Cricetulus griseus: one gene and its partners. The protein of the gene in region 1 interacts with the protein of each later gene in a biochemical or structural test. Links are inferred from orthologs where the notes say so. Each region holds a gene or a part of one and is shown in the gene's direction. Other genes may lie near its edges.

Evidence for each region.
Region 2: the proteins of Smurf1 (region 1) and ubiquitin-conjugating enzyme E2 D3 form a complex in vitro, tested with the Homo sapiens proteins (15 studies listed by BioGRID, with this or other methods). The link is inferred for Cricetulus griseus from reciprocal best matches to the Homo sapiens genes SMURF1 and UBE2D3.
Region 3: the proteins of Smurf1 (region 1) and Rhoa form a complex in vitro, tested with the Homo sapiens proteins (2 studies listed by BioGRID and IntAct, with this or other methods). The link is inferred for Cricetulus griseus from reciprocal best matches to the Homo sapiens genes SMURF1 and RHOA.
Region 4: the proteins of Smurf1 (region 1) and Pdlim7 are reported together in a solved structure, tested with the Homo sapiens proteins (2 studies listed by BioGRID, with this or other methods). The link is inferred for Cricetulus griseus from reciprocal best matches to the Homo sapiens genes SMURF1 and PDLIM7.
Region 5: of the proteins of Smurf1 (region 1) and Smad5, one has a biochemical effect on the other in vitro, tested with the Homo sapiens proteins (3 studies listed by BioGRID, with this or other methods). The link is inferred for Cricetulus griseus from reciprocal best matches to the Homo sapiens genes SMURF1 and SMAD5.
Region 6: the proteins of Smurf1 (region 1) and Plekho1 form a complex in vitro, tested with the Homo sapiens proteins (4 studies listed by BioGRID and IntAct). The link is inferred for Cricetulus griseus from reciprocal best matches to the Homo sapiens genes SMURF1 and PLEKHO1.
Region 7: the proteins of Smurf1 (region 1) and Rhob form a complex in vitro, tested with the Homo sapiens proteins (2 studies listed by BioGRID and IntAct, with this or other methods). The link is inferred for Cricetulus griseus from reciprocal best matches to the Homo sapiens genes SMURF1 and RHOB.

The regions. Positions count from the first base shown.
Region 1 is NC_048597.1:81,289,125-81,292,624, reverse strand, and holds part of Smurf1 (E3 ubiquitin-protein ligase SMURF1), read left to right. Parts: intron 1-593; coding exon 594-714; intron 715-1,370; coding exon 1,371-1,572; intron 1,573-2,809; coding exon 2,810-2,894; intron 2,895-3,500. UniProt on the Homo sapiens protein: E3 ubiquitin-protein ligase that acts as a negative regulator of BMP signaling pathway. Mediates ubiquitination and degradation of SMAD1 and SMAD5, 2 receptor-regulated SMADs specific for the BMP pathway.
Region 2 is NW_023276806.1:24,045,351-24,049,647, reverse strand, and holds the start of ubiquitin-conjugating enzyme E2 D3, read left to right. Parts: upstream 1-1,497; 5' UTR 1,498-1,621; intron 1,622-1,704; exon of another isoform or gene 1,705-1,833; intron 1,834-2,063; exon of another isoform or gene 2,064-2,202; intron 2,203-3,074; 5' UTR 3,075-3,224; coding exon 3,225-3,248; intron 3,249-4,297. UniProt on the Homo sapiens protein: Accepts ubiquitin from the E1 complex and catalyzes its covalent attachment to other proteins. In vitro catalyzes 'Lys-11'-, as well as 'Lys-48'-linked polyubiquitination.
Region 3 is NC_048597.1:216,484,918-216,489,141, forward strand, and holds the start of Rhoa (transforming protein RhoA), read left to right. Parts: upstream 1-1,424; 5' UTR 1,425-1,566; intron 1,567-1,961; exon of another isoform or gene 1,962-2,099; intron 2,100-4,224. Other genes in the region: Tcta (T-cell leukemia translocation-altered gene protein), read right to left, coding at 730-952. UniProt on the Homo sapiens protein: Small GTPase which cycles between an active GTP-bound and an inactive GDP-bound state.
Region 4 is NC_048596.1:274,490,765-274,494,264, reverse strand, and holds part of Pdlim7 (PDZ and LIM domain protein 7), read left to right. Parts: intron 1-71; coding exon 72-108; intron 109-294; coding exon of another isoform or gene 295-391; exon of another isoform or gene 392-647; intron 648-1,041; coding exon 1,042-1,109; intron 1,110-1,255; coding exon 1,256-1,493; intron 1,494-2,499; coding exon 2,500-2,680; intron 2,681-3,500. UniProt on the Homo sapiens protein: May function as a scaffold on which the coordinated assembly of proteins can occur. May play a role as an adapter that, via its PDZ domain, localizes LIM-binding proteins to actin filaments of both skeletal muscle and nonmuscle tissues.
Region 5 is NC_048596.1:275,741,512-275,745,011, forward strand, and holds part of Smad5 (mothers against decapentaplegic homolog 5), read left to right. Parts: intron 1-543; 5' UTR 544-755; coding exon 756-1,158; intron 1,159-3,500. UniProt on the Homo sapiens protein: Transcriptional regulator that plays a role in various cellular processes including embryonic development, cell differentiation, angiogenesis and tissue homeostasis.
Region 6 is NW_023276806.1:60,524,041-60,528,221, forward strand, and holds the start of Plekho1 (pleckstrin homology domain-containing family O member 1), read left to right. Parts: upstream 1-1,381; 5' UTR 1,382-1,507; coding exon 1,508-1,534; intron 1,535-1,669; coding exon 1,670-1,816; intron 1,817-2,384; exon of another isoform or gene 2,385-3,760; intron 3,761-4,111; exon of another isoform or gene 4,112-4,181. Other genes in the region: uncharacterized protein LOC113833187, read right to left, coding at 960-1,244. UniProt on the Homo sapiens protein: Plays a role in the regulation of the actin cytoskeleton through its interactions with actin capping protein (CP).
Region 7 is NC_048600.1:18,982,914-18,986,928, reverse strand, and holds Rhob (rho-related GTP-binding protein RhoB), read left to right. Parts: upstream 1-1,486; 5' UTR 1,487-1,514; coding exon 1,515-2,105; 3' UTR 2,106-3,515; downstream 3,516-4,015. UniProt on the Homo sapiens protein: Mediates apoptosis in neoplastically transformed cells after DNA damage. Not essential for development but affects cell adhesion and growth factor signaling in transformed cells. Plays a negative role in tumorigenesis as deletion causes tumor formation.

The DNA.
Region 1 (3,500 bases):
TAATTCCAGCACTTGGGAGGCAGACACAGGAGTAGTTCCAGGCCATTCTGGGCTACATAGTGAGTTCAGTCCCAGCCTGGGGTAGGGTGGCAAGGGGAGGACGGAAGAGCCAGGTGGGGACTCTGAAGCCACAAGTCAGTAAGACTTCCAGGCCAGCAAGTTTACCACCAGCCTAGGCTCCATGAAACCTTGTCTCAAAAAGATGACATAAGGGGCTGGAGTGATGACTCAGTGGTAAAGAGCACTGGCCGCTCTTTCGGACGGAGGACCAGCACCCATGTGGTGGCTCACAGCTGACTATAACCAATTTGAGAGAATCCAACACTCTCCCTGGCCTCCATGAGCACCAGGCCCATGCACGATGCAGATATTCAGGGAGAACATGCATCTGCTTAAAGTAATACTAGTGATTAAAGAGAAGGCCAGACAGAGAAACTAAGAGCTAGCAGGGAGGTGGGAGTGGGCTGGCGTCCACTCAGCAGGCTCTGCATCAACATTACATGTGATGTGTTGTCACAGCTGCGCCAGCCACTGTGGGGACAGTACTTTCATGGCCTCTCCACAGTTGCTTATAGTATGGTTTTTCCTTTCAGGTTGTATGTAAACTGGAGGTTTATGAGAGGAATTGAAGCCCAGTTCTTAGCTCTTCAGAAAGGGTTTAATGAACTCATTCCCCAACACTTACTGAAGCCCTTTGACCAGAAGGAACTGGAGGTAAGTGAGGCCACTGGCAACCCTGTGTGTGTGTAGTGGGCTTAGTGTTGGGAGACAGAGCCATTTGAACTGTCTTGTCACACCGGGCACTATCTGTCCCCTTGGCAACAGTTAGTGCCTGTGCCTTGGATTTTTAGGATCTCTAGCCTTTGCTTTGTACCAGGCCTCTCTCAGCCCAGTTCTCTGCTCTCCATTCTGGCTATTAATAGACTAAGAACATGTCAATGTTGGGGACTTGAACAGTAATGACTCATTCATCCTTTGCTAGCTCTGCCTGGTGCCAAGTGGCCTAAGCCTTCCAGCTTGTTCTTATAGCCATTTGCCCACCGTGAGACTGAGCTTTGGAGTGGAACATCTCTGTAGGCTGTGAGTTTAGAGCAAGCTTTTAAACAAGTGGAAAGTGAGCATCCCCCATATCCCTTCATTCCCCACATGGCCTGTTGAATTCTCGCCTTGTCAGCCCTTCCCAGTCACTCTTCCCTGGTTTTGAGTAAACTCACCCCTGAGGTTTTGGGGTATCAGCCCACTGGTAGCTACACCAGTCAAAACCGAGGTGGCTGTTTGGCTTGGGAGTTGCACTATCAGTATGGAGTCTGGGGTGGGGGGGCTGTCTTAGACCTTTTAGAATTAACACCCAGCCTGATGCCCTTCTCCAGCTGATAATAGGTGGGCTGGATAAGATAGACCTGAATGACTGGAAGTCAAACACACGCCTGAAGCATTGTGTGGCCGACAGCAACATTGTGAGGTGGTTCTGGCAGGCAGTGGAGACCTTCGATGAGGAGAGGAGGGCCAGACTCCTGCAGTTCGTGACCGGGTCCACACGAGTTCCTCTCCAAGGCTTCAAGGCTCTGCAAGGTGACTGATGGTGGAGTCAGGGCCATTCCCTGAGGTGTTTAGCTACCATGTTCTGTCCTAGATGGTAGAAGCAAGAATTGAAGTGTGACTGTCCCACTAGAGAATAACGGTGGCCAGCATTCTTAGAACAAATACTTAGCTCTGGGATGCCTGGCAGGTGTAGGGTCACATTGGAGTCCCCTTTGGACCATGGATCCCAAGGTCCAGAAGCAGCAAGGGCTACTGATAGCCTTTGGCCTTTACAACCTAAGGTGGGTTCCGCCTAATACCAACCCTATGGGGATTGGTGGAAGAGTTGGGTGGAGGACACTGGAGCTTCAGTGTTCTAGTATTGCTGCAAAAGTGTTTGAGAGACTGAGTCCACCTTATTTCCGTAGTGACGCAGGTCTGCAGGAGTGGCAGGGTTCCTCCCCACATTCAGAAGGAATCTCCACCTTCTCCTAGCACTGATATATTCTGTTAAGCCTGGGCTTGCTGCTCCTCCAAGGGGATGGGTGGAACAGGGCTTGCTGTCCCTTACACACCAGTGATGAACCAAGTAAGACACACTAAGGACATGGGATTTATTCTCCGCCCACTAAGGAAAAGACCGTTGTTTGGTAGTGAGTTTTCGTGCGCATTCAGATTTTTGTGACCCCCACACCCTTCTCTCCTTACCTCCAACTTCTCCACAGCAGGCCTGCTTACCAAATGTTCCCATTGAGAAAAACCCTAATGTCACAAGGGTCTTACTAATATTATCCAAGACCAGGCAGGGGCTTGGATGTGAGCCAGGGATGGGACAGGGTCCCCATCCAGTCCTGGAGTGACTGGTCCCAGAGGAGGGAGGAATGAATGTCCCTTAGAGCAGGGCATTCCACTGGAGGTACACAGGCCAGGTGCTGCGTGGCCAGGAGGCCACACTGCCCTTTCAGTAGCTTGCCTCAGCACTGCCAGCCTTTGCCCTGCTGAGAGGAGTGTGTGACACCCCTATAGGCATGACATGGACTAACAGCCTTGGTAGTAACCTCAGCAGCAGGGGATGGTCCAGTGGCTGGTGTTTTCTGTCAACTGAAGTGTGGAGACAAATCAGTCTCTCTGCCTCAGCTACCCCCCAAAGAGGTTCCCAGGCACGGTATACATAGGGGCTCTTAAGTCCGTGGGGTTCAGGAATGAGTCCCACTGCCCCAGGGCCGCAGGGCCAGGTATTCCCAGGCTTTGTCTGTGAAGTACATTAACTAGAATGTTGTCTTGTAAGGTTCTACAGGCGCAGCAGGGCCTCGACTCTTCACCATCCACCTGATAGATGCCAACACAGACAACTTGCCCAAGGCTCATACCTGGTAAGTTTGGCCACCGTGGGGTCATGCGTCCTTCATGTCATCTCCAGTAGAACCTCAGATCATACCCTAGGGTCAGATGAGACAGGTGCTTGAGTCAGCGGGTGCCTATTTCACTGCTTTGTGAACTGGATTTTGTAATGTAGCAGAGCAGTTAGAGTTGTAGTGACTTTTGCCCATGAGTGCAGCCTGAAGGTTCATGGATAACCCTTGGCTGTGTGTGTGCATGTACCTATCAGAAATGGACAGGCACTGTCTATCTGATATGTGGTTCCACATTTTCCTTCTCCAAAACTTATTGAAAATGTTTTTGCACAGTCTCAGAGTCATTACCTCTCCTTCAGCACACTAGTTCCTAAGGTTGTTGGGATGCTACATAATAGGACAGAAGGTTCAGCTACTGCCTGTGACCCAATGAGGAGGTCTGGAGGGAATGATTTATATCTATCCCAGCTTTTGTTAACATCTGCAAGATGGGCTAATTCATCCATTCCCAGGACCATGTAGGACACCAAGCCTGCCTCAGCATGGTATGGCATGTGCTCCTACACAGTGAGTGGGTGGCTTATCGTTTCTAACACCATTCCTGATTGCTCTGTGCCTACGATT
Region 2 (4,297 bases), on another chromosome or scaffold:
GACGACAGCGACTCTGACAGAGGGCAGGCATCAGTCATCTAGATTGGTGGTGAAGAAACAAACCTGGAAGACGTGGAACCCGACCCCTATCATAAATAGATAAAAAAAAAAACAGTAAGCAAAAGCCGCCATCTGGGTTTCTCCCTCCACCCCATGCCTAATGTTTGCTTCTACTTTAAAGGGTGAGCCTGAAGAGAGAACAATGGGTTGTTTTCAGGGAGGAGGAAGTGTCAGAGGTGGCCAGGAGAGCATCATGTGCTCAGGGTTTTACTAAGTCAGAAATGCTCAAATTATTCCTATCACTTGGGAGCTTGTTGTAAATGTATAATCTCGGGCTCCTAGTCAGGCCTAATAAATCAAAATCAGCATTTTAAACTAAACTACAGGTGATTCCTATGGACACCAGTTGAAGCAGCTGTATCCCACCGATTGCTCTAGTGACATTTTTAATGTATAAGCAGCTATATGTGTATATATATATACACACACATATTACACACCCTCATTCTTAGAATATATATTAGATCCTTCATCAATTTTTATCATTTAATTAGGGACTACTGTCTGGAACAAGTTTTCAAAATTCAAGCTATTTCCATGTAGTCCTGCAGAATTTCACTTCAAGTGGGGTTATTCATGGGTGCCAGAAAACCCTAAAGCAGGTCCATCCTTTCTGCCTTTAAACGCCTTTTGAAAACTAAAGGCTTAGTTCTTTTTTTTTAACCAAAGAATACACTAGATGACAAACGGCCCTCTACACCTTAACCACGGCGGCCCAAAATCAGGGCAGTGGTACACTTGAGAGATCTCACCCCTGAATGTAATCCAGACTGATTCCCTAATGTTTTACCACTTTGGGGCTCAAAAACTGCAGCAGCACCGGGAGAAAGAAGATCCTCAGGCATTCCTTCCTCTGGCTGTTCCCCACCTGACTGCCTGACGTCGGGACTCTAAGCAGCCCGATCACAATTAAGCCGCATTGTTAAGGCTACGCTAACGCTCGCCCCTCGGGCCGCGCGCGGCTCACGCGGGGCCCACGTGGCGGTGCGAGCAGCCCTCAGCCTGGATCTGTTGTAAATTACCGTTCCCAACCTGAGGGGAGCCTCCTCCCGCCGCTTAGCCCTCTGCGAGGAGCCCGGGAAGAGAGATCTCCATCACCTGGGCCCCCGGAAGCCCGGAGCCCGCTCCACCTTCGCTAAGGCACCGAGTCACCCCGCGGCCCCGCCCACAGCCCGTCCCCCATTGGACGCCCGCGAGGGGGCGGGGCCAGCGCGCGCCGGCCGCACGCACGCACGCCCGCCCGCCCGCCCCTCGCTCGCGCCCGCCCGCCCTCGCCCGCCCGCCCTCGCGCCCGGCCGGCCTGGGGAATTCCATTTCCTCTCCCGCCCACCAGCAGAAGCACTCAGGGGCGGTGCTTTCGGCCCAAGGCCCGCCCAGTGAGAACCTGGGGGGGAGGGGGGCGTGGAGAGTGCTACCGGCGCCTCTCGCGATAAGTTGCGGATTTGGGGGCGGGCCCCAGCCAGGAAGAGAGCACAAAACTGCCCTTAAGTCATTGCAGAGCCGGAGCTCCGCTGAGCCGGCCACGAGGTTCTCGCGAGATCCGCCGCCTCCGCCATACCAAGTGAGGAAACCAGGGGGCCGCGGTAGGGAGGGGCGCGGGGGCCTCGACCGCGCAGCTGCCGCTCCCATCCCCTTCCTCCCGAGGTCTCCTTCCGGTTCTCGATGCTTCTCTGAGTCTCAGGGTTTCCGCCGCTCGCCTACCCTCCCCTCGGCCCATGACCCGCCTCCGTCCCCCGCCCTCCCGGCCCGACCTCCGAGCAGTGGAGTGAGAAGGTGCTGTGCGGTCCGGCCGGGAGGCGGCAAGCGGGTGGCTGGCGCGTCGGCTCGGGCCCGGAGGCAGGGAGGCAAACCGCTGCCCTCAACCCTCGCTCGCCTCGGCTCGGCTCGGCTCGCCCCGCGCGCGGCCCGCGGCTCGCGCTCGCGACGGCGGCAGCGGCGGCGGCGTTGGCGGACGGATACGCGGCGGTGAATAGGCGGGGGGAGGGGCGGAGCGTGGCAGCTGGCAGTAGTTCCGTCAGAGCGAGCGGACATCTTGTGGCTGTGCCGTGCGCGTGAGCCCCGTAGGGCCGGGGAGGCACCAGCTGCCGCGCGGGGAGGAGGCCGAGGCCGAGGCCGCAGCTCGAGGGAGGCCCCGGCCCCTCTGTACGCGTGGGTGGGGACGGCTCGCTCGGCCCGAGGGAGGGCGAGCGGCCGGGGGCCGGCGCGGCGCGGAGCGGCGCCCGGGGCTGTGGGCGGCCGAGTGGGCAGCCCGCGGGCTGGGGTGGGGTAAAGGGGGGAGGCCGGCGCGGCCGGGGCGGGCGGGCGGGGGGGCGAGAGGGAGGACGGGAGGACGGGCGCGGGGGGGAGACAGGGGCGCGTCCTCCCTCGCGCCGGAGCCGGAGCCTGGCGGCCGCCGCCGGCGGCGCGTGGTGGTGAAGGAGGAGGCTGGGCGCGCGCACGTAGGAGCGCGCTGTGAGGCGGAGAGGAGGGAGGCAGTGTCAGGGGCGACACGGAGCAGCCCGAGCCGTGGGCACGGCCGCACACGCGAGCCCGCCGCCCGCACGCCCGTCCGTCCGTCCGCCCGCCCGCCGACCTTTGGAGCGGAAACGGAGAGCAGCCCGGCGCCGCTCCGGAGCCTCCCGCTCCCCTCCCCCTTGCCTTTCTTTGCCCCGGTGACGCCGGCCCAGCGCCGGCCGGTCCGGCCAGCCTGCCTGCCTGCCTGCCTGCCGACTAGGCCCCGGCTCCTCCTCTGCCCGGCCCCGGCCCCGCACCCACCCCCTTCTCCTCCGCCTCTTCCTCTCCCACCCGGGGCCCTTCCTTCCGAGAGGCCGGGAAGTTAAACTCGTAACCTCTTCCCGTCACCCTCGCCCTCTGCGGGGCGAGCCGCCGCCGCGGGGAGAAGCAGTGGTTGGTGGCTTCGCTACCCCACCCCGCCCTGCCCGGATCGCGGCGGTTTGCAGGGATCTCGGAGTCGGCAGGGTTTTCTCCGCGGCCTCTGGCGAGTGGCTGATCTGCTCCGTTTTTGCAAAAAAAAGGCGCCTGTGTCTGGCAGAGCCGCTGGGAGGAGGAGGAGGAGGAGAAGGAGAAGAGACGATCCATCCTCGCCGCTGGGATAATCAAGAGTTTTCGGCCGGGCCTTTGAGTACACATCGGGATAGTGAGGAGCCCGGCGAAAAGCACAGACTATGGCGCTGAAACGGATTAATAAGGTAAGTTGTTGGGACTGACTAATCCGGACGGGGGGCCCTGGGAAGCCAGGCAGGCAGGCAGGCAGGCAGGCAGGCTCGGGCCCAGGGGGAAGTGTGGAAGTGGGGTGCGAGTGTAGTTTATGAGATGAGTTTCTTTAAGTTGGGGGAACTGAATGCTTTTGGCAAGCGAAATGTTAGACCGAATTTCTCACAAGAATTTGTAAATTAATGGGTGAGAGCGTGGCTTTCAGGCACCTCGGTTTTGTGCCTCACGAAGAGTTAGTCCGGTTTGGAAAGTGGAATTGTGTAGAAGCCCTCGGGCAGATGGCATAGTACTGCTTTCCTATTCCTGGTTCTTCAAAACTTATTTTAGGTGTACTATGCTTATAGGCCTTCTAGGAAGAAAAGGAAACATGAAAAAGAAAACATTTTATTCCGAACTTTACTGAGGGTCAAGGTATTATAAACAAACCTCGATTTGCTAAAAGGTAGTGACGAAGTCTGTCCAGAAGCTTAACCCAATCTGGGCAGTTACACAAGACCAAGTGGGGTTGGGAGGAGGTGGACTGACACTGTTGCCACTTCCTGTGTTGTGTGGTCGCAGCTTGCACCCGAAGCTATTTATCTGAGGCACGGGAACTGATGTAAATGCCTTTAGGAAGATCCGTCCGGGGTGGGGGGGTGCTTGACAGTGCAGGAACACAGGATGGACCCACTGCTTTTGCTTAGGACACCCCCTCCCCCCTCCAGCCTTGTTTCAGCAATCCACTATAATTTGATAATTTACGCTGTCGGTTTCAGTTGGGCAGAAGCTAGGATTTTTCGGAGGTCTAGTGTAAGAAGAACTACCTCCTCCGGTGGTTTAGTCTCATTTTATTGCTCTAACTTCTATCCCGCATTTTAAGATGGCGGCTGCTTTAACTGGTTCGGGTTCTTTCCGACACCATCCCTTTTTCTAATAATAGGAAATAATGTTCTCTGTTAACGTTAACTGTTTTTTTTATATGGTTGTAGGGAGTTCTAAGGGTCTCTGCCTCCAAGACTTAACCTAAATTCAAACTCTTGAGACT
Region 3 (4,224 bases), about 140 Mb from region 1:
GGCTGTTAGGCTGGCGTTATAGTTCCAATGGTACAGTACTTGCCTAGAATAGATACTCTCACTTTCCTAATGAAGGACTTCCCAATCAAGGGATTTGTTTCCAACAGACCTACCTACCACTTCACCTTTCTAAAATTACGGTACCACCACCATCCATCCCCACTGCATATGCTGATAAGAGGCACTGCTAAATGCCCAACTCGAATCCTGAGCTCTACCTGCAGAATTGGAGGGTTCTTGCAGAGGCCACTAAGGTGGTGGCCCTGCGAATTCTCTTCCCTGTCACCAGCACTCAGTGTTCTCTGCCTGCCAAGCATGGGGTTGGGATAGACGGAGATTTACTCACCATGAAGGAAAATGTGTGGAGCCATCAGGTGTGGATCCATTCTGGCCACCCAGACCTGGAGGCAGGAACACACCCAGAGCTGCAGGAGGCTGAGGGTGGGGATCTGAGCAGGCTCAGGTAAGGGGCCACTGGTACAGTTTAAGAGATTGGGGCTGGGATGCTAGGGACTGGTAGTATTGTCTGGTAAGGGTTTTTGAGAAACCGTTACAACGTGATTATGGACAGGTGGGGATTCTGATGTAAGATGGTATGGGGGTGTAAGTCTGGGTGCAACGAGGCTTCTGGGAGACCAGTGGCAGTCTACGCGGACACAGGAGAAACAAGTGGTATAGCTTGGTGGTGGTAGGGGCAGCCAGGCCAAGGAGGTTCGTAGGGAGCCTCACCTGGACGGTGATACAACCCGGTCACTGTGTTCCCGTAGAACCCCCACGCCAGCTGGATGCCCAGGAGACTTAACACCAACCACAGCAGGAGCAGCTTGAAGAGAGTCACTCGCATGTCTTGTGTCTCCCACTCCCGCAGGAATTCGCTGCCCAGGGTGCCCAGCGCTCCGAGCACCGACGCGGGCAGAGCTTGCAAAAACTGCCCAGACCAAGGTTCCGCCATGACTGGCCAGCGCCCCACCGGGTGTACTGTCACCGTAGTTCTCACTGCGCAAGCGCACGGTCTTCCGGGGTTAGAGAAGTAGGTGCGCACGCGTAATGTCGGGCAAAGACGATCTACTTCGCTTGCGCGAAGTGTTGGCAGTTTGGGGCAGGGCTTTAAAACCGCGCAGGCGCACCCATCCCCGCCCTGCTACTTAAAGGATGAGTGAATCGGTGAGTATAAAATAGCAACTTGGTCTTTTATAGCCCCGGAGTTCCCGTGATGCTCCACGCGGCCGCAATGATTGGTTAAGCGTCTTGCTTTTAGGGCGTGGTTGCGCTCTTGAGCAATCGTGGACGAACTGCGAGAGTGCGCGCGTGCGCGGGGCCGCGACTGGCGCCAGCTCGAGCCCGCAGGGCGCTCGGGGGCGCGCACGTCGCTCCCCGCCCTCCCGCCACCGCCCGCCCTCGTTCGCTCGCGCTCCCCGCCCGCCGCCCGCCGCCCGCGGTCCTCCGTCGGTTCTCTGCTGAGTCCGCCGTCTTCCGCGGAGCTGCCGGTCCTCGTCTCCGAGCTTGCGGACTCGCGGACAGGCGTCCTCGGCGCGAAGAGGCCGGACTTGGAGTGGTCGCCTTGAGGTGAGCAGAAGCATTCCCTCCAGCCGCCTCGGCTCCGGGGGCCCGGCCGGCCGGCCGCCGCCGCCGCCCGCCCGCCCGGCACTTTCCGGCACCCGCCGTCCCCCAGTCGCGGGCGCGCCCCACCTGCTGCTCTCGGCCGGCAGCCCTGGCCCCCCCTGACCGGGGCCCCGCGCCCGAGGCGGCGGCCCCGCCCGCCCCGCGCAGTCCCCGAAGCGCGCCCCGCCGCCTCCAGTCCCCCTTCCCCCGCCCGGCCGGGCCTGGTGGAGCCCTAGCCGCCCGCCCTCCCCGTCGCTTCCTCTCAGGGCTGCGCCGGGCTGGGCGGGGGCTCCCGGCCGGCCCGCGACCGCGCTGGGGGAGTCTGCCACTGTGAAGCGCGCGTGGTGTCGGGAGTTGGAATAGGCAAGAAACTCTTTTACAACTCCATTTTGCCTTTTACATTGAATGTGGATCATTAATCACCGTTTTATACCGGGTGAAGACAGTGAGGCTTTGGGTGGATTTTCTGTTTTCAATGCCGTATTCTTAGAGATTGTGTAAGTAAATGATTGTTTTGAAATCTTAGCGGTGAAGACTGTATGGGGGGAAGGTATTTTCCAGTTGAAAAAACATTGTAAAAATAATTTGGAGAGGTTGCATCGATATAGATGCATTTCTACTTAAAGTTACTGCTTTAATTAGGAATCACTTACAGATGGGTTCCCTTTTCAGGTCGTTTTCTTGAAATTGTACTTTTTGCACCCAAATATTTTTTGTTTGTTTTTGTTTTTTTGATTTGTTTAGTAGCATAAAGTGGGAAATTGGCATCTTTTTTTTTTTGTCCCACAATTGGTTCTACTTGTATTTTCTAATAGTCCTCACTAAGAATTTTAACCTCTGTTGGTTATTCATATGGTTCTTTCTGTCTTCTGACATTCTTTTGAAATAAGTGTTGTTTTGCAGGTTATATATAACCAGATTATATTCCTCTGGCAAACCTGGAGGGATGGGAAACTCAATGTAGTATGTGGTGAGAATTTTCAGCCATTAAGTGTCACATGTCCAAGTGTGAATGTACCGTGTGGATGGTTTCTCACCATCCACATGGTTATCTTGGTAGTGATACTGTCTGGAACATTTAACACAAGTATCCTTGTTAACTTAAAATACAAGGCTAGGTCTTACTATTGAAGGCTCTCAGAACTATTGTGAGAATTTGTCTACTTAGGTGTTTCTTAGGGGCATAAAATATATAGAGAGCTTGTGTTTTCTATTTTATTTTTTTTTTCTCTTTGGTGCTTGAAATTAAACTCAGGGCTTGGGGCATAGTGAGCAGGTGCTATATCTCTGAGCTTTATTCCAGCCCTATAACTAACTGAGTCAAAAGTCAAGTGTTCAACTTACAATGCCGCTACCCAGAAATCTCCTGGAGAAGGAAAATCTGCCAACTTTCCCCCATATAGACTGGAAAAGATTTAAAGGATTTATAGGCTGACTCCATTTGTAGGCGTGGAGACTGAGTTCAGGGACTTTTTTCAAGAGAAAGGTTTATTAGCACTCTGCAGAGAGAACAGTGGGAGAGACCCCTGCCTACTACTTAAGAGAAATGGACACAGAGTCTGACTTGAGCGCTGGAACTTGATTTGTAGATCTAGCTGTCCTGCTTCTGCCTTCTGAATAGTGCTGGGATGTGTACCACCGTTCCTGGTGAGCGTTAAAAATTTTGAAGGTCATATGTCTAGTTAGACTAAAACTACTTTTCTATCTGAAAAAAAAAGTCCTCCGTGTACTCTCGGCTAAAATCAGGGTTCCTGATTACTCTCTTGCTGTTCTTCACCTTGCAGATTGTGCGTATTTAGGGAGAATCTGGTCAGTTCACTTGCCAAACAAATTTCTAGTTTTTTGGGGTTTTTTTGGTTTTTGGAGACAGGGTTTCTCTGTGGCTTTGGAGGCTGTCCTGGAACTAGCTCTTGTAGACCAGGCTGGTCTCGAACTCACAGAGATCCGCCTGCCTCTGCCTCCTGAGTGCTGGGGTTAAAGGCGAGCGCCACCAATGCCCGTCTAAATTTCTAGTTTTTGTACATAGCCCTTTTCTGGCTTAGCCTTGTCTTTGAGTTTGTTGATTTTCTTGAGGACCCAGCCTCTGGGAGTTGACTGTTAACAAAGACAACATAATGAGGTCCCCCTAGAATGTCTTCAGGCTACTATAGCCCCTTTGACTAGATTTTAACTTGAACTGGTGAGAATGCACAAATCACATACATAAGCAGTGGTCTGTGCAGTGTGTGAGAATGGTTTTGTTGGAGTGTTTTCATAGTCCTTATTCTTTGTTCATCATTAATCCTTTTAACAGCCCATCCTCTCTATTAGCGGTGTAAATTTTTAGAAGAGTAAAATGTTCAGGTGTTTCTTAGTCCATGGGGTGGGGTGGAAGTAGGAGGAGGAGGAGGTTAACCTTGAGAGATTGGCTAACCTTGTTGCAAGACTGACTTGAGATTAGTGGGTTCTGTAGACAGTACATTTGGTTCCATGGCGTTATAACTGCTAGCAATGATGGCATGCTGTGTACAAATGCTGAATTTAAAAACTGGAAGTAGGTGAGGTGAGAAACCTATAATTGCAGTACTCCAGGAGGTAGGATTGTTAATTTGAGGCCCGCCTGGGCTATATAACAAAATCCTG
Region 4 (3,500 bases), on another chromosome or scaffold:
TGACTTTGCCAGGACTCGAGGCTGGGGTGACCCCTGTTTCTCTTGGTCAATGCCTGCCTCTGTCCTCTCAGTGCAAGACCCGGATGAGGACTACATGAAGAAGTCAAGGTAAAAGCGTGGGCTCCCGCCCTCCCTCTAGCCTCCCACTCTTCTTTCCAGCCGCCACCCCGCTGCTCCTGGCCCTCTCCCGCCAGGGCTCTCTTCTCTCCCTGCCTCCTTCCTTCCCTCCACCCCCTGCCTCCTCCACCTCTCCTTCTTTCACTTCCTCCTCCTCTCTCTCTCTCTGCCCCTCAGGGAAAAGTATGTCCTGGAGCTACAGAGCCCACGCTATACACGCCTCCGGGACTGGCACCACCAGCGCTCTGCCCACGTGCTCAACGTGCAGTCATAGCCTGGCCCTTTCCAGCCTGCTGCCCTCTGCTTTCCTTTCTCTGTTACCCTCCCAGGGCACCCATTGGTGCCTCCAGCTTCTGCCTACCGCTTTCATGCCCCTGGTCTGAACCTCCTACTGGCCTGGTCCTGGCAGCCCGCCTGGCACAGGGCCTGGCTTCGTCTGACACTGCCTTCCCTCTTGGCCCTGTGGTTCTACTGTCTGCCAGGTCTGCACTGCCTTGAGCATGAAAATAAACGTTCTCAGCCTCGCTTTCTTTGCCGCTGTCTTCTGTCTTATTGGGTCTGGTTATGTTTTGGGTACGGGGCGTTAAATGGTTTAGACTTGGTGCGGGTCCTGCAGTCTTCTCGGTGGGAGGACATCCCTAACAAAGATGGCTGTGCCTTAGCTTGGTTCTTTTGTATGAGAGGAGACCCAAAGACTGCCGTAGGAACGGGAGCCCCACCCTGCTTCCATACAGCACACCAGATAGCTCTAACCTACTTAGGGGAGGCACCCCCTCCTACCTGTACCCCAGAGGGACCTGGAATCCATCCCAGCCGCTCTCATGCACTTGAGATTCACTCATGGGCCCAGCACAACTGGAGTTAGGGGGTGGGACCATGCCCAGAGCCTCAGCCAGGCAGGGCCTTGAATGGCTGATCTTACAGCCAGGTGCCCAGGACAGAAGCCCCAGCCCCAGCCCCAGCCTCAACTATACCCCAGGAACCCTGGCCTGGTAAGAAAGTGGACTTGGGTGTGAAGAAGGGTGGGTAGCCGCCATGGTCATAGGGGTGGTGGGCCTTTGTAGGCTACCCTGGGCTCTACCCTCTGCACTTTGGGCTCCCTGAGTGCCCCTCTGGATCTACTTTCCTTGGCTGTCAGGCCCCACCACCACCCCCAGCCCCACCAGTCGCCCACCCTGGGCCGTGGACCCTGCGTTTGCTGAGCGCTATGCCCCAGACAAAACCAGCACAGTGCTGACCCGGCATAGCCAGCCTGCCACACCCACGCCTCTGCAGAACCGAACCTCCATAGTGCAGGCTGCAGCTGGAGGGGGCACAGGAGGGGGCAGCAACAATGGCAAGACTCCCGTGTGCTACCAGTGCCACAAGATCATTCGGTGAGCGCTCCCTTCTAACCCTGGTCTTTCCTGCCCTGCAGCCTGGCCTTGGCCCCGATGTATCTATCTGCCCTACCTCAGTTGCTACTCTGAGGAAATTAAGGATCTGGTAGAAGCAGGGGAAGGATCTAGCCTGGAACCTTAGATCTTTTAAAATTTATTTTACTTCCCGAATATAGGTGTTTAGCCTGTGTGTGTATCTGTGCACCAATCGCATGCCTGGTGCGCACGGAACCTTTGGGAAAGGGTGCTGCATTTCCCTGGTGCTGGATGGAGTTGTAGTTGGCTGTGAGCCTTCATGTGGGTGCTGGGACTCAACCCTGGGTCCTGTGGAAGAGCAGTAAGTGCTCTTCACTGCCATCTCAGCAGCCCCCATTCTCAGATGCTTAATCCTACACTTCCTACCATACGCTCCCCAGCCTATTGCAGTGAGGTGCCAGCGGCACCCTGAAGCTGCGTCTCACTTTGCAGCTCTCGGGCTGCTGCTTCCCCAGCATGCATGGTCTCTGCTAAACCACACCTCTCAGGGCCAGTAGGCCACAGTTACCTCCCTCTATACACTGCTCCCTGGAACCCAGCCAAGTCACACAGCCCCTCACAGCCAGATTCTAGAACCTTCCTAGTTGGCCCTGGTGGGCTGCTCTAGTCTCCCATCAACCCTTAGGCAGAGGATTTGTAAAAAGCATCCCCTCCTGACATCCCTGTTTATCCAGGGCTCACAGGCCCCTGCTCAGGCCAAATGGAACAGGGAAGCAGGACAGGGTTTTCACCAGGGTCAGTTGGGGTTTCACCCTCACACTGGGCAGTAGTCCCCCAGGAGTGTCTTGGTAGTCTTAAACTGTCAATTCCCTCCCAAACCAGGGCACCAAAACTGCCGCAGTTATCAGGAGAGTATATAAGGGTTCCCTTTCCATTTGCTCCCTCTTGCTGTAGGATCTTGGAGAAACCACTCCTGTCTTCCTCCTGGGGTGCATACCTCATTTGCATACATTCCTTCTCCCTGCAGGGGCCGTTACCTGGTCGCACTGGGCCATGCATATCACCCTGAAGAATTTGTGTGCAGCCAGTGTGGGAAGGTCCTGGAAGAGGGTGGCTTCTTTGAGGAGAAGGGGGCAATTTTTTGCCCCTCCTGCTATGACGTGCGCTATGCACCCAGCTGTGCCAAATGCAAGAAGAAGATCACTGGAGTGAGTGGGGCTGGCAGGAGGGCAGGTGGGCGGGAGGCTTGAATTCAGCTCAGAGTATGGTCCCAGTAATGGAGGCCTGCATACAGCTCAGAGTATGGGCCCAGTGATGGAGGCCTGCATACAGCTCAGAGTATGGGCCCAGTGATGGAGGGCCTGTGTAACATGTACAGGCCCTGGTTCCATTCCCTGCACAGTCTCGTTAGCATGGTGGCGTTTGTTTCTAATCCCAGAGCTTGGAAAGCAGAAGCAAGAGCATTCTAATAGGCCATTCCGGGTTACACAGTGAGACTCTGTGTGAAGAAAACAAAATGGCATTACTTATACCAGCCAGGATACTCTTTGTCTGAGACAGGGTTTCTCTGTGTAGTCCTGGCTGTCCTAGAACTTGCTCTGTAGACCAGGCTGGCCTTAAACTCAGATCTGCCTGCCTCTGCCTCCCAAGTGCTGGCATTAAAGGTGTGTGCCACCACCACCCAGCTAGCCAGTATACTCTTAAAAGACTAAAATTTTTTTTAGTGTATTTATTTTATGTGTATTGAGTGTTTTGCACCAGTCACACCTAGTGCTGTCAGAGGTCAGAAAGATGGTGTCTTCTGGACTTGGAATTACAGACCTACCATGTGAGTGCTGTAAACCAAACCAGGTCCTCTAGAAAAGCAACAAGTGCTCTTAACCACTGAGCTACCTCTCCAACCTAAAAGATCAAATTCCATTGGGGGGAGGGAGGAAAGCTGGTTGGTGGTGGCCTTTAATCCCAGCACTTGGGAGACAGAGGCAGGTGGATCTCTGTGAGTTTGAGACCAGCCTGGTCTACAAGAGC
Region 5 (3,500 bases), on another chromosome or scaffold:
TATAGAAGCCAGTAGTCAAATAGTCTTTATAAAGTACAAACCGACATTTTGAGGAGTTGAGTAACATTTTGTATCTCTTCAGCACTCCTCATTCTAAAAATAGTTGACACTTTCCTGGTAGTGATATGTGTTAGGCTGTGTTTGATACTCTCCTACATCTTGTGACCTCTTTGTTTTGTTTTTGTTTTTCAACACAGGGTGTCTCTGTGTAGCTTTGGCTGTCCTGAAACTCACTCTGTACATCAGGCTGGCCTCGAACTCAGAGAGATCTGTTTGCCTCTGCCTCCTGAGTGCTGCTTATGACAACTCTTATCTGGCTTCTTTCCGTCTTAGATGACTCTTTAAACCTTTGCTTTGCTGCTGAACTATTTGTGTTCTGAACAAGGGAGTGAGTGGCTACAGGAATTTTAGAGCTATTTTTATTTTCTGGCTTTATGCATTTTGTTTTACTTTGAATACTTTTCTACTTTTATGATAACACTTTTCAGTTACGTTGATTAGTGTTCTTAGATTGAATTAGGCTCCTTTCCCCGTCTCTTTCAGGACTTGTCCGAATGAAAGAAGCATATGGCACCTGTGAAGTTAAATGTCTCTCCTCCTCTCCACTTGGGCCTTCCGCTGGAGACCTGCCTGTGACTGCACCTGTGACCCACGCTTTTCCCGTCTACTGACTTTGGTTACAGGAAAGCCTCTGAAGATTGCTGTCAAAATCTCCTGACTTTGGTTACAGGAAAGCCTCTGAAGATTGCTGTCAAATGACGTCAATGGCCAGCTTGTTTTCTTTCACTAGTCCAGCCGTGAAGCGATTGCTGGGCTGGAAACAAGGTGATGAGGAAGAAAAATGGGCAGAAAAGGCAGTCGATGCCTTAGTGAAAAAGCTGAAGAAGAAGAAGGGTGCCATGGAGGAGTTGGAGAAAGCCTTGAGTAGCCCAGGACAGCCCAGCAAGTGTGTCACTATCCCCAGGTCCTTGGATGGACGCCTACAAGTTTCTCACAGGAAAGGCTTACCCCATGTTATATATTGTCGTGTTTGGCGTTGGCCAGATTTACAGAGTCATCATGAGCTAAAGCCATTGGATATTTGCGAATTTCCTTTTGGATCTAAGCAAAAGGAAGTTTGTATCAATCCGTACCACTATAAGAGAGTGGAGAGTCCAGGTAAGTTTTGCCCAACTGAGAAGAATTAAGAACAAACAAAAAAACCAACATGTCTCTCCGATTTGCACATAATTAGGCTTATTATGTCAGCCTTTGTTAAAGATTTCATCTTAGGAATACTGGGTTTTAAAGTTAACATTTTTTGAACATTAAAACTCTTGATTGGCTGTTGGAACTCACTGTCTCTAATAACACCCATTACTTTTCTGTGGCCGACATCTCTGTCATGCTAAATACATGTTCCATGTTCACACTAGACCCTACTCCCTCCTGTTTGTTTGGGAGCTTTGTTGTCAACATATCAACTATTTTTCTGGCTTTACATCTTCCCTGTCTACAAGAGTCTGTCTTTTTCATTAAAATACGTTTACTTTTTGCATGGTGTGTGTATGACAGCATATGTGGCAATCAGATGACAGTTTTGGGGAGTCAGAAAGTCTTTCCTTGATCTTACTCATTATTCATTTTTCAATGCCCAGGATAATACTCTTTACTAGTTGTTAGTAGATATAGTGGTCAGTATTTTTTAGTTTTTTTTTTTTTTTTTTTTTTGTGAATTGAGTTATGTAAGATGATGTCTTAGTCCCTTTATTGCTGCTATAGCAGAATACCACAGCCTGGGTAAGTTCATTCTACTGAGAAGAATTAAAAAAAAAAAAAAACCCACATGTATTTCTCTAATTTGCACATTACTAGGTTTATTGGCTAAAAAGTTACATTAGCCTTTGTTCAAGATTAACAGTAGAAGTCCTGGAGCATAGAAAGTCCAGGATTAAGTGACTGTCTGGAGTGGGTCTTATAACTAACTCTACCACAGAAGAGTATATGAGTGTGAGTGACGGAGAGGATAGAAGGAGGCAATAACATATATAAAGAAGCCTAGTTCTATTTTTCCTGTGGTGCCTGGGATCAAAACCAGAGTCGTGTGCATTTTAGGGGAGTGCCCTACCATGGCGCTACACTCCAGCCCAAGCAACCTGTTGATGTAAGAACAATTCCACCTCTACAGGGCTACAGTCTCGTCACCTTTTGTAGGCCCCATCTCCAAGTACTGTCATGTTGGGAATTAAGTTTCTGGCCCATGAACTTCATAAAATTTCTCAAAGCAGTTAGGTTTTTTAGTTATCTGTTGCTACACAATAAATAGCCACATGTGTGGTAGTTTAAGCATAGCACACATTTACTACCTTATAGTTTCTGGGGGTCTCTTGTGAGTTTCTCATCAAGGCGTCTATCACAGCTGGGTGCACTTCAGATAGGTAAGGGGCAGTTACTCTGAAGCTCACTGTGATACTGACAAGACTTAGTTCCTGGACAGGCGGTTGGCCTCTGGCTGACTGTCAGCTGGAGACTCCTCCACTTGCTTACTGTGTGGCCTTCTGCATCAGTAGTTCACCTGTATATTTGTTCTCGTCTTTTTTTTTTTTTAAAGATCTTTATTTATTTGTTTATTTATTATGTATACAACATTTTGCTTCCACGTATATCTGCACACCAGAAGAGGGCACCAGATCTTATAACGGATGGTTATGAGACACCATGTGGTTGCTGGGAATTGAACTCAGGACTTCTGGAAGAACAGTCAGTGCTCTTAACCTCTGAGCCATCTCTCCAGCCCCTGTATATTTGTTCTTATGCTGTCATTCCCTTTCACAATGTTACATTTTCTCTCTCTACCAGACTATTCCTGAGAGCATGCGTGCATGTTATGTTTCTTCTTCAGAGCCAGTAAGGGCGTTTTCCTGCAAGAGGACATTGAATTCTTAGGGAGCATGACCACACTGCTGGTTAGGAACAAGTCCTCAGCTGTATGCTGAAGGGTCAGGGTTGTCTGAGCACATGAGTACCGAGAGTGTCTTCCCTGCTGGAGGGGTTGTGAGCCTGATGTGCTTGAGTGTGGAAACTGGTTACATTGTTGGTTAGTTGCTGGTTCATATTTGACAGGGGTCTGTTTCTTTGGAAGCCCAAGGAGAACCATGGTAATTTTACTTATAACATCTGAAAAAAGATGAAATAGGATACTGGAAATATTAGTGGTATGTACTTAAAATTAAGGAAATAGTTAACTTTACTAAAAACCCTGCTCAGGAGGAAAATGCACAATATACTTGGCTCCACAATGGGTTTTATATGTATTTTTTAGGAATATATAGCATGTGGGTATGAGTGTGTATAATACATGTATATGTAATAAACATTAGATACCAACTGAACCCAAATTTTAAAACCACGTGTTTATGTGTGTGGGTGCTTTGCTTGTATCGTGTGTGTGCCTGGTGCCTGAGGAAGCCAGAAGAGGGCATCAGATCCTCTAAAAGTGGAGAACCAAACCTAGGTTCTCT
Region 6 (4,181 bases), on another chromosome or scaffold:
CTAGGCAAAGAGATCTACCACTGAGCCACACTCCCAGCCCCTTTGAAACTATGTAAATCAGGTGGAGACAGGAGGATTAGCACATCAAGATTAGCCTTAGCTATGTAGTAAGGCTGAAAGCAGCCTAGGCTGTGTAAGACCATATATATATATATATATATATATATATATATATATATATATATATATATTCAATCCAAACCATTCTTCTATGCCCGGCCAACAAGTTCTCGAAAGCTCCTGTAGGCTAATTTCCTCAGCTGTGTCCTCACACTGGTACATTATGCTTCCTCACATAGCCTGCATTTTCTCACTTTTTTTTTTCATCACCTTTTAAACAGGACAGTACCAAACTGAGCTGGGGAGACGGGAAGGGGATAGTTTCAGAAGTGCGCTCTGTGTGTACAAAGTCTAAAAGGTACAACGGGGTCAGAAAACCTATATTCTAATTCATGTAACAGTAGTGTGTCAATTTGACCATGTCATTTGGTTCTCCGTGCCCGACTGATCATTTCCCAAGGGATAACATTCCCATTCTATATGCCTAACAAAACGGTACTCAATATTTTTAAGTGCCAAAATAATATTTTGAAAGGATAAAGTTCTGCATCCACCAGAAAGAAAAAAAAAAATCAGTTCGTATGGCTAGGAAAGAGAATCTTACAGGATTGGGAAGGGAGATGGGTCTGAGGTTCTTTCTTGACAGATTCCAAAAAAGCCCAAACATCCTCCACGCCTCCAACCACAAACTTCGCAACCCTTCATCTTGAACGTTTCTGGAAAAAGACTATTTCCCCTGCTCCGTAGCAGGGGTCTTTACTCACTTCGTGGTTGCTGTGTTTACCATACTATACCAGGTAATAGGTTTATTGGCTTATTGTCTGGTAGTAATTGGCCCTAGGAGACAACCCTTGGGTCCTCCGGGGCTTTCATGGGTCAGCTCACCCTCCTCCATTTACCCGGCAGGGGCACGGAGACCGCCGAGTGGTGAGGAAAGCCGTCCTCAAACTTGGGCTCCCGCCCGGCCCCGTCACAAACTCAGGGCTCGGCCGGCTCGCGGGCCTCCCCGCCGCCGCACGCGTGTTTCCCGCAGGCCTCGCGGGGCGCTCGCGGCCGCCCCGGAGGAGGTCGAGACCGGAGCCTCCGGAGGGAGCTCCGTAGCCCGCGTCTGAGGGTCCGAGGCGGCCGGTCTCGCCCCGCGCCTCCGCTCCATCCGGCTCGCCACGCCTCGGGCCCGCCCCCATCGCCGCGCCTCTCGGTTATCCGCTCGCGCCTCCGCCGGGCGCCGGGTCGGAAACAAAGGCGGGGGGCGGGGAGCGCGCGGCGGCGGCGGCGGCGCCACGGTCGCCCTTCATTCGGAGCCCGCGACGTCAGCGGCGGCGGCCGGGGGCCCGTGCGGCGGGGCGGGGGCGGGGCGGGCATGGGCGGCGGGGGCAGCGAGGGCCCGGCCTGCGGGTAGCGCGAGCCGGCGAGCGAGCAGCGGGCGCGGCCCCCGATCCCGCCGGCCATGAAGAAGAGCGGCTCCGGCAAGCGGGTGAGTGCGCGGCGCGCGGACAATGGGGCCGGGGCCGGCGAGCGGGGAGCGGGCGGGCGGGCCGGCGAGCGGGCGGGCGGGGAGGGCGCGGAGACCCGCCTGAGCCGCCGCCGCTCCTCGTCTCGCCCCGCGCAGGGGCCTCCCGATGGAAACCATCACTCTGCGGCGCCCGAGAAGGTCGGCTGGGTCCGGAAATTCTGCGGGAAAGGGATTTTCAGGGAGATTTGGAAAAACCGCTATGTGGTGCTGAAAGGCGACCAGCTCTACGTCTCCGAGAAGGAGGTAGGCGCCCTTGCCCAAGCCGTCCCGACCCGGTCCCCACGGCGGCTGGTTCTCCGGCTTGCCCCGCCTCCCTCCCTGCAAGTTCAGGGGTCGCAAAAGTCCTGTATCTGCAGAGAAAAGTCACCCGAGTGACTTTACCTGGGTGGGAATTAGGAGTTTACTTAATTAAATGTGCCTGTGAGGACACCTTTCTCAGAAGTTCTGAACGTCCGCTGCCTCTTCCCCTGTTCTGGCCCCCTGAAATACGGGATTGATTTTTTTTTTTTAATTTTCTGTTGAAACACACTGCTCATCTTGTCCCTCGTCCCTTTCTGCCTTTCCCACCCCAGCCCCACCATCCTTTCCGTTCCTGTCTGTAGCAGGGGGCATATGTAGGTCTCTTGAGTAGCAAGTCACCCTAAATCATAGAAAACACAAACTGCGATCCGTCTCTGGGACCTGAGGTAGGGTAGCTGTGGATGCCAGACTTTTGTAGAAGCCAGCGTCCTGAAGTAGGCCTCTTCCTCACCTTCCACTCCACTTAATGAGGAAAAAAAACAAACAAACAAGAAATTCATATTCTGCCCACCTTTATTTGTAGAGTGGTGGAACCGAGTTAGGACTGTGAGCGCCTGTGTGCACGTGTGCTTTGACTGTAGTTGAGCATGAAGCCACAGCCCACACTGGTCAGAATCTAAAGCCAGGTCATGGAATCCAGACCCCCTTCCCCTTTTGTAACTCTTGAATCAATAACAGGAATGCTGAGAAGCCGAACTTGCTTCCCTGTGACTTTTTACAGAGCATGGTACACTGGCCCCTCAGACTGGCCCTCCCGCCCTTGACTGTGTTCCCTCACCCGGAACGGACTGGGAAGTCCTCCCCAGTTCTAACCCCTTCTGCTTTCAGCACTAGACTCTTGCATTGTGCCGTTCTGTTCGGGTAAATAAATCCTTTTATGGTGTTGAAGTAGACACACTTGCAGCCCAAGAGAAGTACTCATCTGAAAACTGTCTACTGAGACAAGTAGAGAGAACTAAATAGCGCTGAGCCGGCAGGCGAGGTCCCTCTTGAAGGGACCTAAACATAACGGTTGGAGAGTCCTGGAGCAGCTGAGGGAAGGCTTGAAGGAGACTGTACTTTGAGGGTCACTGCTACAGACAGATGCCACAGACAGCTTTCATCACAATTTTCTTGCTTTCCACTTTTTTGTTTGTTTTAAAAAGCCGCAGCAAGTGTCACTGTGTATCTCCTGTCTTCCCTGAACTTCATAATGCCAGGAAAAGCAGTGCGCAATCAGGAAGGGCTTCCTACATGTCAGAGGGAAACCAGAGGGCAGTGAAAGGCTAAAGAAACTAAACAAGGCTTTTTTTTTTTTTTTTTTTTTTTTTTTTTGGCTTGTATTTGTCCAAAAGGCAGAACCTGGGGATTGTCCAAAAGGCAGAACCTGGGGACAAAGGTGCAGGATTAATTGGCTAATAAGCTTTATGTCAAAGAAGAACTACGGAGCAGAGAGATGATAGGATGACCTCAGCCTAGAGTGGCTGCTGTCCTCTGAGTCAGGAGCATCTGACTAGTCCTGGAGCCAGATGCCCCCTACTGGGGAGGGCATTGGAAAAGAGGGAACTGCTCCTTATTATGACCCTTCTTCAGAACCAATTCCGTGGTCCAGTGGACCCGGGCTAAGGGTGAAGCTGCCAAAAGACACGGTTTATTCTGCCTGTAAACAAAAGCTGCAGTAAACCAATAGACTGACGACATTAAAACCAAGAGCATAGTATTTGCAGGTCACATGCTGATGCAAAGACGAAAACGTCCCTACCCATTGCATTGTTTCTGTCAGTCTTTCTTGGGAAAGCAAGGAAGCCCTTCCATGTGTGCTGTTGGTCATTCCCCACTCTCCAAAGGCACCCTTTAAAAGGGCTGGGATGTCTTCTAGTCAGCAGATCCACACCTCAGGGTGGCTTCCTGGGAGAGGAAGTTAGGTTGATAAAGTGATGCTTTGTGTGTATGTGGACCCCGAGAAGAAAGGGTTAATTTGGAAGATGTAGTCATAAATGAGACTTTGGGAATTTGGTGTGAGAAACAGACAGAATACAGCACAGAACAAGGTGCCAGGGGCGCCCATCTTTTCTGGGCACTGGCATTTACTTATTCTACTGCCTGACTCACCCAGTCTCCTACCCATGCCCTTTCTGACCTCTGCCAATGCCTCCTGCTCCCAGAGTGCCTTATCAGCCATGCCCAAGCAGGGGGAGCTCCCTCCCTCCCTTCCCTCAGGAAAACAGAACAAGTGAGTCTTTCCCCTGCCGCACACACCCAGCTCTTCCTCTCCAAGCCTTCTGGTCTCTGCTGATAGTCTCTTTGGGGAAGGAGCCAGAGAGGAGGG
Region 7 (4,015 bases), on another chromosome or scaffold:
TTTGCTCTGTTCAAGCAGTTTGCTTTTCTGGGGGAGGCCCTCTTCGACTCCCTTGCTGCTTTTCACTCCTTCTATTTCTTATAATAGACTGACTTAGATCCTTTAAGACAGGAGGAGTTGCCACTTCCTGCAGGATGGGTTGATAAATGAATTAAGGCCTGGTATTATATATCAAGACGCTCTCTCCACCTCACAGTAACCGTGTGCCCACCATCAAGTTCCCAGTGAGGTTGCATCTGTACTTTCCCGGCTTCAAGCTTTTCATTTGCTTGGGATGGATGGGTTTCATCATATTGGGGTGGGTGGGTTTTCTTGCAGCATATTGCGGGCTTCAGGACTAGAATCTGATGTAATGTTATAGAGCTGGGTGGAGGTTGCCTATTCAAAGCCGGACAATTTCTTCTCAGCGAGTGGCTGGGACCTCTTTCCATTATCCTAAGGCTATGCTACTCTAAGATTCCTCCCCTTATCTTCTTCACCCGGAGACCTAAGTGCAGGCCTTGGAAGAGAAGAGCCTGTAGGAGACTCACCCAGGCCCATCCAATTTACTGTCAAGCCTCCCATTGTGAAAAGGCTGCCTGGGGGCTAGTACCAGGATGCGGCTCAGAGCAGAAGAGAGGTATGTCACCTAAAGAAAGTAAGAAAGAAAGAAAAAGATACCCTTGGCTAGGGACAAAAGTGTGCATGGGAGTCTGTTTACGTAAAAACAAAACCACGTTAAAGGCGCCACCCCTCCCCCATGTGTTTGATCTCCAGCGCGGAATCTGCTCGGAAGCAAGGTAAATCTGAAACTGTGAGAGTAGCCAACGCCCCACAAAAGTGAGGCTCGTCTCGCAACTGCCCACCCAGACCCAAAGGGCTTTGCGCTCGGAAAGGCTGCGGCGAAGGCGGGGACCTGGCGGCCACAGAGCCCCACGGGGCGGGCCGCCGCGCAGACTCCACAATCACCGCCTCTCCCAGCCCGGCGGACAGGGCCGTCAATCATGCTCTCCCGGACACGCCTTCGGACTGCAGCGGACGGCCAATCGGAAGCAAGCTCCGCAGCGATGAGCTCAGCCCGATGGCTTCCCATTGGCTGGCTATATTAAGAAAGTGGCCGGACTCTTTAAATAGCGGGCGCTAGGGCCGCAGCCCGCATCTGCCGCCGCAGTCCTGCTGTTGTCGTCCGCGCTCCTGTACCTTTGGTCTGGACGATAACCTCTCCGGAAAGGAGGCTAGGCCGAGTCCTCAGCACTAGCCATCGCCTCGCACAAAGCAGCCCAGCTCCGGAGCAGCCGAGGACCGCAGCACCACCCGGCAGCAGCGCAGCGACACGCTCCGTGCGCCTTATGCCCCCGCGCCCTTGCCGCGGCAGCCAGAGAGCCCCGAGAGAACGCACCACCGCGGAGTACCGGTGCAGCTAGCGATCCTAGCCCGCAGCGCGCCGCCGGGGGAGAGCGGAGAGTGGCAAGCAGGGAGCGGGACGGCGGCGAGGCGCTCGCGGGCCCCTCCTGCTGCCCGCGCCCGGTGAGCTCATGGCGGCCATCCGCAAGAAGCTGGTGGTGGTGGGCGACGGCGCGTGCGGCAAGACGTGCCTGCTGATCGTATTCAGTAAGGACGAGTTCCCCGAGGTGTACGTGCCCACCGTGTTCGAGAACTATGTGGCGGACATCGAGGTGGACGGCAAGCAGGTGGAGCTGGCGCTGTGGGACACGGCGGGCCAGGAGGACTATGATCGTTTACGGCCGCTCTCTTACCCGGACACCGACGTCATCCTTATGTGCTTCTCGGTGGACAGCCCGGACTCTCTGGAGAACATCCCCGAGAAGTGGGTGCCCGAGGTAAAGCACTTCTGCCCCAATGTGCCAATCATCCTGGTGGCCAACAAGAAAGACCTGCGCAGCGATGAGCATGTCCGCACGGAGCTGGCCCGAATGAAGCAGGAGCCAGTGCGCACGGATGACGGCCGCGCCATGGCGGTGCGCATCCAAGCCTATGACTACCTCGAGTGCTCGGCCAAGACCAAGGAGGGCGTGCGCGAGGTCTTTGAGACGGCCACGCGCGCCGCGCTGCAGAAGCGCTACGGCTCCCAGAATGGTTGCATCAACTGCTGCAAGGTGCTATGAGGGCCGCGCCCTGCCTCCCGTCCCTGCCAGCGTGGCTCCCCCTTCTTGGCCGGGTCGCCCACGAGCCGGGAGAAAGGGAAACCCACGCCCCCAAGGACACCACCAGACTGCCTGGCATCTGCTGGTGGCTCTGGTTGGTCACGCCGAGAATTAGCGTGGGCACCGAGCTCCCCCTTCCCAGTGTCTGTGTGTCCAGCTGTGTGGCACAGGCCTGGGCGCCCTGCTGAATGCCAAGGGGTTCCTGAGCCAGGCCTCAAAGTGTGGTTGTGTGTATGTACGACTCCCTACACCCCCACCCCACTCTTGCCCCACCCCCGCCTTTGGTTTCCCCAGAGGCACGCAGAGAGGTCGAGCTCCAGCAGATGTTCCGCTTGTAACCAGCAAGCCACTAGTGTCCCACCGTGTCTGTAACATAGACCCCTGGAACCACGGGAGGGGAGGGTTGGGGAAGATGATGGGGGTGTTACATAAATACAGATTTTATTTTCGGAGGCGGAATGGTGTTGTTTAGTGGTGGTGAGTGGTGTGACCCAGGGCGCAAGAGCAACTCCTTTCCCAGGCTGGATCAGGTGCCCTCCCATCCGAGCATGAACTGGACTTGGCCATCTTTTCACATCCTGGGAAAGACATTTGCAACTGACTTGGGGTTGAGAGGAAGCGGCTTCCAGATAGTCTCCTGGGCCAACCCCCAGCGAACCTCCTTTCCAGCCACCGGTGGAGGATCCAGGGTGTGCTACGGGGGCCACTTTTGCCATAATCGAACTTTGTGCCTGTCCCACAAGTGAACGTTGTTCAGTCCAAGAGACTATTGTTACTGAATTTATTTAAAGGCTGAAGCTTTTTTTTGTTATTGTTGTTGATGGAAGAATTCTTTGCACAATTGTCTCATTGTTCGACATTCAGTGCACTTGTCATTTGCATAAGACAGCATTCTGACCACACTTGTATGCTGTAACCTCATCTACTTCTGATGGTCTTTTTTTTTTTTTTAATACTATGATGACTTTAAGGCGATTAAAAAAAAAAACACTAATTTTTGCTTTGTTTTCTTGAAAAAAAGTGTCAACACTGTTTTGTGATTTTTATTTGTATAGCTTACGCACACTGTTTTGATAAAGGAAGGCAACATATTGGGGTCTATTTAAACCTCTCCCCCCCATTTCAGCTATGTGAAATTTTCTCTACGATGTGCAGAGAAAAGCCTCCCCCTACTCCCTTTCCCTCACCCCTCCCCAGCCCAGTGGTACTTCTACTTTAATTGTCTTGGGATTTTTTTTTGTTTGTTTTATTTTATTTTTTAAATAAACTGACAAATGACAAAGTGGTGAGCTTACGATGTTTACATAAAAGTTCTATAAGCTGTGTATACAGTTTTTTATGTAAAATATTAAAAGACTATGATGACATTTATAAGTGGCTCTTGTGGCTTAATAGTGTCATTAAAAGTACCTGAATTTGGGGTAAGGGAAGAATTCTCAGACTCTTTCTGGCAATAACCCTTAGGGGGGGTTGGGTGACCCAGAGGGGCTGGGTTGTTCCTGTCACATTCCCAGAGGAAGATAAGCTTGTTACTCAGACACCCAGAGTGTATGAATTACTGTGAATTTAGTCCCATTAGGTGAGGCCTACAGTCTTGGTTTGACTTCCTCTGTAGGTATTTAAAAAGTGCCTTAAACGTGCATTGTTACTCTTTGACAACGAGAAAGGTTCTCATTTGTGAATGTTAAATATGGGTGACTTTTTTTTTTTTTAATGTTTTTAGGAAGTGTGGTTAATCACATGTGTGGACCAGGCTGGGAACTTAAGAGGTAGGGAATAGACTGTCCCTTGTCTCCTGTCTCTCTCTCACTCACACACCGCCTCCCAACTAAGCTGGTATCTCTGGGAAAGGGAATGTGTGTGGCTAGAGT